2 linked regions of the Kluyveromyces lactis genome follow. The protein of the gene in region 2 interacts with the protein of the main gene of each other region in a pairwise test. Links are inferred from orthologs where the notes say so. Each region holds a gene or a part of one and is shown on either strand. Other genes may lie near its edges.

Evidence for each region.
Region 1: the proteins of KLLA0_E10275g (region 2) and BRO1 interact in binary tests that used the Saccharomyces cerevisiae proteins (3 or more experiments, as listed by UniProt). The link is inferred for Kluyveromyces lactis from reciprocal best matches to the Saccharomyces cerevisiae genes DOA4 and BRO1.

What each region holds. Positions count from the first base shown.
Region 1 is NC_006041.1:2,120,214-2,124,794, reverse strand, and holds BRO1 (Bro1p), read left to right. Parts: upstream 1-1,596; coding exon 1,597-4,038; downstream 4,039-4,581. Other genes in the region: COPII coat assembly protein SEC16, read left to right, coding at 1-173; MBA1 (Mba1p), read right to left, coding at 384-1,196; tRNA splicing endonuclease subunit SEN54, read right to left, coding at 4,077-4,581. UniProt on the Saccharomyces cerevisiae protein: Class E VPS protein involved in concentration and sorting of cargo proteins of the multivesicular body (MVB) for incorporation into intralumenal vesicles. Fusion between endosomes and the vacuole will then target the cargo proteins to the vacuolar lumen.
Region 2 is NC_006041.1:904,885-909,483, reverse strand, and holds KLLA0_E10275g (uncharacterized protein), read right to left. Parts: upstream 2,810-4,599; coding exon 419-2,809; downstream 1-418. Other genes in the region: DOS2 (Dos2p), read left to right, coding at 1-344; FMP16 (Fmp16p), read right to left, coding at 3,432-3,704; PAA1 (polyamine acetyltransferase), read right to left, coding at 4,535-4,599. UniProt on the Saccharomyces cerevisiae protein: Ubiquitin thioesterase that acts at the late endosome/prevacuolar compartment to recover ubiquitin from ubiquitinated membrane proteins en route to the vacuole. Also removes ubiquitin from soluble proteins targeted to proteasomes.

The sequences.
Region 1 (4,581 bases), about 1.2 Mb from region 2:
CACCCGTATCTTCGAAACCACCTGTTTCGAATACTAATGTCAACTTATCTGGGTCAAAAGCAAACGGTCTAGATGATTTAATGGCATTGACTGGAGGCGTTAGCAGCGCATCGTCGACGAGAAGGAAAAAGAAATCGACTAGAGGTTACGTTAATGTTATGGAAAATTTATAACATCACTTTGTTAACTAGTTCTTCCGATAATTGAATTTCGAAATTGTTCTCAAGTGTATTGCATATAGCGTTAAATGAACCTAGTGTACTTCGACGTCTATGAATTTACTGAAAATAAATAAATATAGTCATTAATGATCATCTTTTACATTGGTATTTACAAGGTAGTATCGTAAAGCGAGGCCTTTTAATTACTAAGATATACTTTTATCAGTCTTTTTTAACAGGTGGTTGAACTCTGAACAAGTCTCCGTTAACTTTCATTCTTTCGATTACAATTTGGTTCGAAGTTTCGCTATCTTTTGGCAATTTCGCGTCTGGTGCACTCTCAAAAACAGAACCAGTTAATAGAATATCATTTGTGCTTGCATCGCAAAGGAAAGCGATATAGTCAATAACATCTCTGTCCAGTTTATCAGTTTTACTTTTCTTCTTGTCGAACTTAATTAACCTTTGTTTGGTATCAAACTTATAAATCAATTGAATTAATTCAACTGGACGACCGGGAATCATCATGGCTTGTGTGGAAACTAACTTTGGAACTTCATTGAATTTAATCAATTCCCAGTCCAAGGTAATGTTCGATGGGATTTGTTTGGCTCTCGCTGTCAAAGCCTCGTCAACCCATATGGACACTTGAGGTTTGATGGTATCCAGTTCTCTTTTAGCAAAAGCTTCATTAACTTGAACATATGTTTCGATAGCTTTGTTCTTCCACAGTAAAAAATTTGGCTTGAGACCTGATTGATAACGGAATAAGGCTACTTGAATGGTGTTCATACCTAACGTATAGATCTTCCTGACCAAGACATTGAAATAAGCCACTGGGGACGTTATTGGATTAGGCATATTTTTCTTGGAAGGTGCGATATATACCTGGTTTGCAACCCCCATATGACGTGGATTGAATGGGGCAGGCTTTTTAACAACACCATCGGAATCTAGAAGCCTTCTAGAGGTGCTAAAGAAACGACCTCTCTTCCCTAAAAGTCCAACGGTTCTTATTCCTCTTAGTTGAAACATTTGTTTAATTCACAGGGGGGTGTTAATGGTAAAGAGAATGGGATGTCTCAGAGCACTCTGGATGATTCCAATGATCAACTACGAAGAATGGTTCAGATACTACTAAACGCTGTCATCTTTATGTCAACCTTCATTCCTTTAATCTGCTGCTGTTGTTAAAATCAGATGTGCATCGAAATTTTTCGAAAGCTTCGCCTAAAGATCGTTTTGCACGTTTTGATACTTTTGATGCTAACCTTCATTAATCGACCTAGCCATCTACAAACAAACTACTTAACCAAGAACGATAAAGCACTTGGGCAATCAAAGATAGAACCACTACACCAGAGTTAACATTTGTGCGTTGCAAGACAGTTTGCAAGTACCTACTCTTTATTTCTTTTAAATCGATCATTTCATAATGAAAACAGTTCTACTTCCACTTAAAATTAAGGATACAGAGAGTATTAGTTGGACAAAAGGGTTAATAACCTATTTGAAAAGGTCATACGGATCTAGCCAGTGGTCCGTGTTTTATGATGGCGACAAGACGGCAGAGATTGATTCGTGTAGGACCACTGCTAATTCAGATCTTGCGCCAGAATCATTATTAGATCAGAACTATAAGTACGCCGCTATATTGGAGCAAATCTATCTAAGGTTAGGCGCACACAGCGGTTCATTACAGATGGATTTCACGTGGTATGAAGCAGAATATCACTCTAGGTTGTCAGAAAAAAAATTCAAGCAACATACTGTAGTCTTTGAGAAATCATCTGTCATGTACAACATCGGTGTTCTATTGTCTCAAATCGCTAAGAAAAAAATGTCTGATAATTATAAGAGCGCGATTCCTTATTTGAGCAAGGCAATGGCTTGCTTCGATTATATGTCGAACAACTTTTTGAATTCACCTTCTATCGATTGTGCAGCAGAAAATACATCTTTTCTCTCCACATTGTTGCACGCCGAAGCTCAGGAAATGTTTCTCATGACGTTGATTAATGGACCAGATGCTTCGAAAAGAGCATCTTTGATCAGCAAACTAGCACATACTGCCTTAAATTTGTATGAGAAATGTCAAGAATTTTATGAGGATAGTTCAACAGCAACTTTTGGGACTACGCCTTATGGAGAAGACAAATGGAAGGATATAATTACCCTAAAGGTTCACTTGTATAGGGCTATTTCGACATACAATCACTTGAGAGTGCTAGAGGAAGCTAAGAAAATTGGAGAGGCGATAGCTTATGGTAAGCTTGCGGTACATGAAATAAAAGAGGCTGGTTTCTATAAGGTATATGTGAAGGATGAGATTGATCTAACAGGGTTAAAAGCAGTAATAGAAGAGAAGTTGAAAAGTTTAATTAAGGACAACGATTTCATTTATAACGATTTGATACCAGCTGATGTGAGCATAGAAAGCATCAAAACCATGGACGCCGTAAAGCCAGTGACCTGGGAAGAACAGCTCAAGGTATACCTAGAGCAGGTTGTAGATCTCTGTAATGGTGCCTTTAAAGGTATAGTGCCTATGGAAGTCTATGAAAATGAGAGTATCTATTCTGAGGAAAAAGCTTCATTGTTAAGAAAGGAGGTCGAGGAGACGGATACAGCAGACTGGGAATATCAATCATTCATTGAATTTACTGACTTACCGAAACTTATCAAAGACCTTGAATCAAGATATGTACACGGTGGAAATGGTTCATCAGATGACCCTCAATATGAAATAATGAAGCAAAAAATAACTACTTGGTCAAAAGTTGTGCAAGACAGTAATTTCAAAGATGTAAGAGCGCAAATGCAAAATATTCTTGACAAAAGAAATGAGATTCTTACAATTTTATCCTCTGTCTCTCCTGATCAAAGGGAAAATGCCTTGAAAATCAAGAACTCTTTAGTGCAGGCATCTCAATCTGATGACAAAATATTTGCATCTATCAATCCATGCTTGGAGGAAGTTAATTTGTTAGCAAACCATCAGTTATTGTGGAGCATAATGAGTAAATTTCAGATAAGGAATGATGAACCAAGCTTACTTGATCTCGATGACTCAAAAAACCAACAGATCTTAGATCGCCTTCATAATATCAAACACAATCAGGAGATTCTACGACTACTAAAAGAAGAACGTACAAGAAATTTAAAAGATTTCAAAGAAAGCTTGAACAATGATGATATAACTCAAAAGTTGATATTGCTGACAGGTAAGCCGAAAAAGGAAATGAGGGTTATCTTCGAGGAAGAGCTTACTAAATTCAAACCGTTGAGTACTAGGATTGAAGCAACAATATTCAAACAAAACAATTTGATTAACGACATAAAAATCAAGTTGGACGAAGTTTTCAAACTTATTGGAGTACAAGATAAGACCCCTGAACAAGAAAATACAGTGAAAGAAAGACAGACCTTTTTCGATAAGGTTGAAAAGGCTTTTAACCAATTCGTTATATTTAGTACCGATTTGCCGAAGGGTTTAAACTTTTACGACACTTTGCTCAAGATGACTAGAGAATTAAGCCACGCATCCACCCCTGGACAATCTGTAAACTTGATAGATTCCAACACATTGCCACCTAACTTACCACAAAAATCTACACAATCTACAACACTTACAAAGAGTTTCGCAAATTTAAACTTATGCAATGATGTTAATGACTCGGTAACTCAAAGTCCTGCAAATCTCGCTAACACTAATAACACCGGAGTGAATCCAGGTCCGCCTCAATTACCACCGAAACCTCTTTCTACCGGTATCAGTGGGCTTGTCAGCGATCAAAAGCTGCAGAATGGACCGACATCCTTTTATAACAATCCATCTGTCTTTGATGAAAATCTCTATTCCAAATTCAGTAAATAGTGTTTGTGGTTATATATATCTTGAATTTAATGCTAATGCTAATTTCTCTTCTTCTGGTTTGGTTTTTTCCACTGTACTATTTTAGGTGATGGAACATACCATATATTTTCAGATCCAAAATCCGTTTCTGTGATTTTGACTATACTCACCAAGCCGCCATCCATCACCGCTAAAAGGAAACTCCGATAACCTTCCTTAATTCTCTTCATTTTCCGAGCATATAAGCTCAAGGTTTTATCTCCTTTATTATTCTTACGTCTGCTTTTTAAATGCCTCTGAGCATCAACATTACCGGTCTTGTTTGATTTTGTCACTTTTTCTTCGGCTATATCAACATCATTAATAAAAGGGAATTTATGATCTAATCGTTGAAATATGCCCTTAAAATCTTTGAGGTTTGGAAATTCCGCTTTCTTGGAGTTTTTATTATGGATGACTATTTGGAAATCAGGCAGATATCTGTTACTCTTCTTAAAAGATGGATTAGGTTTCCATACATCAAATGCAATCTTATAATTTGACGACACGGGAGCGTTAAGATCC
Region 2 (4,599 bases):
TAAACAAGGATTCGGACTTGAAAAGCTTACACGAAGACGTTGTCCCAGCACCTCTTGATGATGCAACATTTTGGAATATTTACTTCACTAAGAAGGCGGAGATTCTAAATTTGGCCTCAAAGAAGCGTGACTTATTAAGTGCCAAGGAAGATCTAGGTAAAGAACAAGCAATAGGATGGGATGATGAGGAAGAGGATTCAGAAGAAGAAATTATTCCTTCTAAAACTGCAAAGGCTAAACAAGACTCCAACACTGGTAAGGAGACTATTTCTTCTGCTAAAACTGAATCAAAAGCTATCAAGCAAGAGGAAAATGACGACGAAGAAGATGATGATTGGGAGTAGTTATTGGAACCGATCTGGTGTTTCTTCGAACACTGATTACATTTTGTATTTCCCTACTTAATTAATTATTATACTTACATGTTAACTCTACGGTAAAACAGCACATATGCATTAGGTGTGATATATTCGTCCTTCCTTCTAATTTTTCTCCAACTGACATCATCAAAAGAACACCAACCAACTCTGCCTTTGTCCACAAAGGAGGTGTAATGGCCACCATAGAGCGTGCCAGAATGTGACGCCACAGCAAAGAGTCTATAGTTGAAGGGTGGCTTTTGACCACGCAATGGCAACGAAACCCCGTTATCCTTTGGCATTTCTCCATTGTAATCGTCGATCCAAAAGCCAGTTAAGTCTAGTTCATTTGGATAATTGACAAAAACGTTGTTTTTATTCATCATATTATCAAATCTTTTTAAGTGAATGATTAAATTATTAGGCAAACGTGTGATGATGATTTGTTTGGTTGATGGTTGTCTCTGTTTACAATAAGGACAATACCACAATTCGTCTTTTTCCAAAGTTTCTAGCTTGGTAAACTCTTTGAAACAGTCGTAAATTGTGCAAGATCTTGCTCTGGGAACTGGTACTGAAAGAACAGAGAATGCTTGATAAGTTGTGGACGTATGTGCACAAATTTTACATCTGAGCTGCGATGCATATTGGCCTTGGAACAAATCCACGATGACACTGAAATCTGTCGTCAAATATCTCTCCCATTCGATGGCTGAAGCAATTCTCATCGGCATGGTTTCTCTCATTTTCTCAGCTTCTGGACTTAATTCCTTAAGAGGAGGATTGGTACCACATTGGTTCAAATCTTCATGTAAACCATCTAAGAGAAATTGGCAAAATTCTTGACAGTCCTGCTGCTGCTTGCCTTTAAACAGTGAATTTATCGAGCCACACGCCAATTTGAATTGAGTTGGATGCACAGCCGTTGACTCCATATTAGTATTGTTATAAGCCTGTAGTTTCCCCTGTTGATACATCTTCTGTACTAGTTGTGAAAAATAATTCGCTAATAAACCCTTGGAACCTAATCGACTGTTCACATTGACATGTTTCCTATATGAATTGGTCAGAAATATGTATGATAGCTCATGACAACCGAGAAGACATTGAATTATGCAGTTCAAATAGCATGAATTTCCTAAATTCACTAAACCAATCGCGAAATCCAGATTGATACTAGGATGACCAGATTTAGCAACAGAGTTATTCCCGTTTGAACTCACAATGCAATTTGTACCGTTCGCATGATTATTACTTTCCTGTCTGTGGTTTTTGATTCCATTTGGTTGAAGTTTGTAAGGTTCAGAATTTCCTTCATCGTTCTGCTGTAACGCTTTCGTTAAATTACTGGTAGATGGCAACAACTGATTAGGCACCAATCCAGCAGTTTTAATACTAGCTCCATTAGTAAGGAATGGAGCATCAGGATAATGTGTGAAACTTGTAGTTTGAGAGTGACTCGGTGAATTGGCTTTTTCAATATTATTATTGTTTGATAATGCCATAGGGTGAAAATTGTGTTCCACGGGCTTCGTACGAATATCAGATATTGCCGATTCCATTATTTTTTTCAACTCCATGGGGTACTTCTCCTTCCAAGCGTTTACGCCATTTTGCAAAACTATTACCTTAGTATGATGTAAAGGTTTATCAAATGATCTATTGCAAAGAATGTCTTGTAAAACTTCTAACTGTTGCCAGTAATATTTCGTATGCTCATCAGTGTCTGTGTAAAGCACAATAAGTCGAAACTTATCACGATTCTTGAAAAGATCAACTTCTCTATCCGATGCAGTGATTAATGACTTACGCAAGATATCAGAATCCGTGTATGATTCTTTGAACGAGATCGGTTCGATGCAAATAACGTTGTTATGCTTTATATGACCATCGTTAAAATCCATCCTTGGTCTAATATCAACGAGTAAAATGCCAGATGAGTCGTTATCATGCCGTATTAGTGAATGCAACTGCGAAATTGACACAAATTCCCCATTCTCATAAGAGTGTTGAGTACCGTCATGAGCAGCTTCCTCACTGTGATTTTTGATAAACCTCTTCACTTCCCCTATCTGTTTATCATTCGCTAGTGCAGAAACCAATCTACTATAAATTTCCAGCAATTCTTTATCTTTTGAATCCTTCTTACTATTCATCTTGATCTGTTGAAACTCGGCCAACCCCGGAATAACCTGAGATGCGATCTGTGACACAATCTTATAGTAAACGTACAATGTCTCATTCAACTGATATATCTGCGATGGTGGTGTGTCCTTGGAAGCACATGAAAGTTTTCGCAGCTCGCTCTTGTATATTGACAACGTGTCTATACATTTCGCCAAGAGCTGCTTGAAATGTTCACCTTCAACATCCTCAGCCACAACCTTCGACGCTACAGCTGAAAGCTGCGAAAGTGATTTACAAAACAACTTGGAGTTATGTTCGAGCATCGTGGTTGGTGAAAAGAGTGTAAAATCCCAGTTCAATAACTAAAACCTTCGAGGTTTCTTTTGAAATCACAAAAACTGAATCTGATCCGTTATCGTTGATGCTCTTGTTAATAGAAATACAGTCCGCCTCACTCAGTAATCGGAATCAAACATAAAAAGTTCTCTCGATGCGAATAAGCACACAAATACCAAATGTATCAACAATACCAAGTAAACCAGAAACAAACCTTTGGTCTATAATGACAGGAACTTTCTCATTAACAGTACTGAACCCTTTGTAAGTATGTATCCAATTTGTCAAGATTGTTTATGTGGATCTAAATCGAGGTTGCAATGGGTGGGAAAATGAAGAAAAGGTTAGTCACGTGATTCCACGTGACTATGCCCACATATTTTGTCCGACGTCTTCAACGTCCGGAACGGCATAGACATGCTTCGAGGAAGACATACTGTTGTCAGTTTGTTCAAACATATATGATATTAGTACCATTATATATGATTATCTAGTCATTGCTCTTGTTCTTACATAAATAAGGCCAGGTCTCATGGACCTGTAGGCGTTTTGAAGATTGTAGTTGTCGCATGTATTTTTTGAATATCCTAGGGTGCATTTCGTTTAGCCTTAATAGACACCGTCATCTGCTCTATGCTGTTTGATTGGGGCATCCTTACCCTTCTGCTTCAAGGATTTTAGATTAGGACGTTTGTAGTTTGGATCGTCGGTTTTAGAATCGTGTTCCAACTCTTCTAGCTTCTTCTTATTTCTATCGAACATCCTTTGATCTGGATCCTTTGACTTCTGTGTAGTGCCTGCCATAACAGAAGCTGAGAAGTTTCTTCTCAAACATTGGGTAGCAACTGGGGAAGACTTTATAACTCTGGTTAATTGGATCATGGTGTGTGATGCTGTGTGAAAATGATTCTTCTTTATTTCTATAAGATGGGATATGTCAAACAGAAACTTACTCTATATATGGGGTAAATGAGAAGCCGATTAAGGGAACAGGAACCTTCACAGGCTCCATTTATATAATCATCCAGGAAGAGGCTCGGGATCGTCAAAATAAAGGGTACGCTCTCTGACGTATCAGACTAGGGACTCAACCAAAGAAATAGTACGTTTGCACACTAATCCTGTGACAGGTTAGCAGCATCCCGGTTTTTTCTTTCTTTTATTACTTACAAAGATTGCTATTACCTTATTAGCTAAGATGGCGGAAAGACTATGCTAGAAAACGAGAGATTGCGAGCAAAAGAGTGTTGTGCATTTAGGGTAAGCACGGGGCAGTACTAGGGAGCATCTGGATCTAGAAGATGATTTTCTGGCCTCCACATATAGTGTGGTGTATGTCGCTTCTCCTATGCTAACGCTTCCACTGGTATTGAAGTTTGAGAACGAATATATAGATATAAAAAGGTAATCCCGAGGTAAGCCCGAATGTAACGTTTTTAAGGCAAGCCTTGACTTTACATCACCGGATGCTGTAATTTCTAGGTCCATCGGCACCAAGGGCGGAACGATCAATAGAAGGAACATTATCTTATTTAGTATCGTTTATATATACTTTTCTGTTAGAATACAGCAGTTACCAGGTATATCAGCTCAGATAACTACTACATGTAAAAGTTGCATCTGAGAGTTGAAATCCACCTTGATCTTCTTATTTTACTGCCGGATGATGGTTTGATTTTTCCTGTTTCCTTTTCATGCAAGTAAGGACCTGTTCAAGTCTCATACTCTTCCTTCACCAATTCTCTAACCATATTACACCAAACTTTGCCATTGCTTG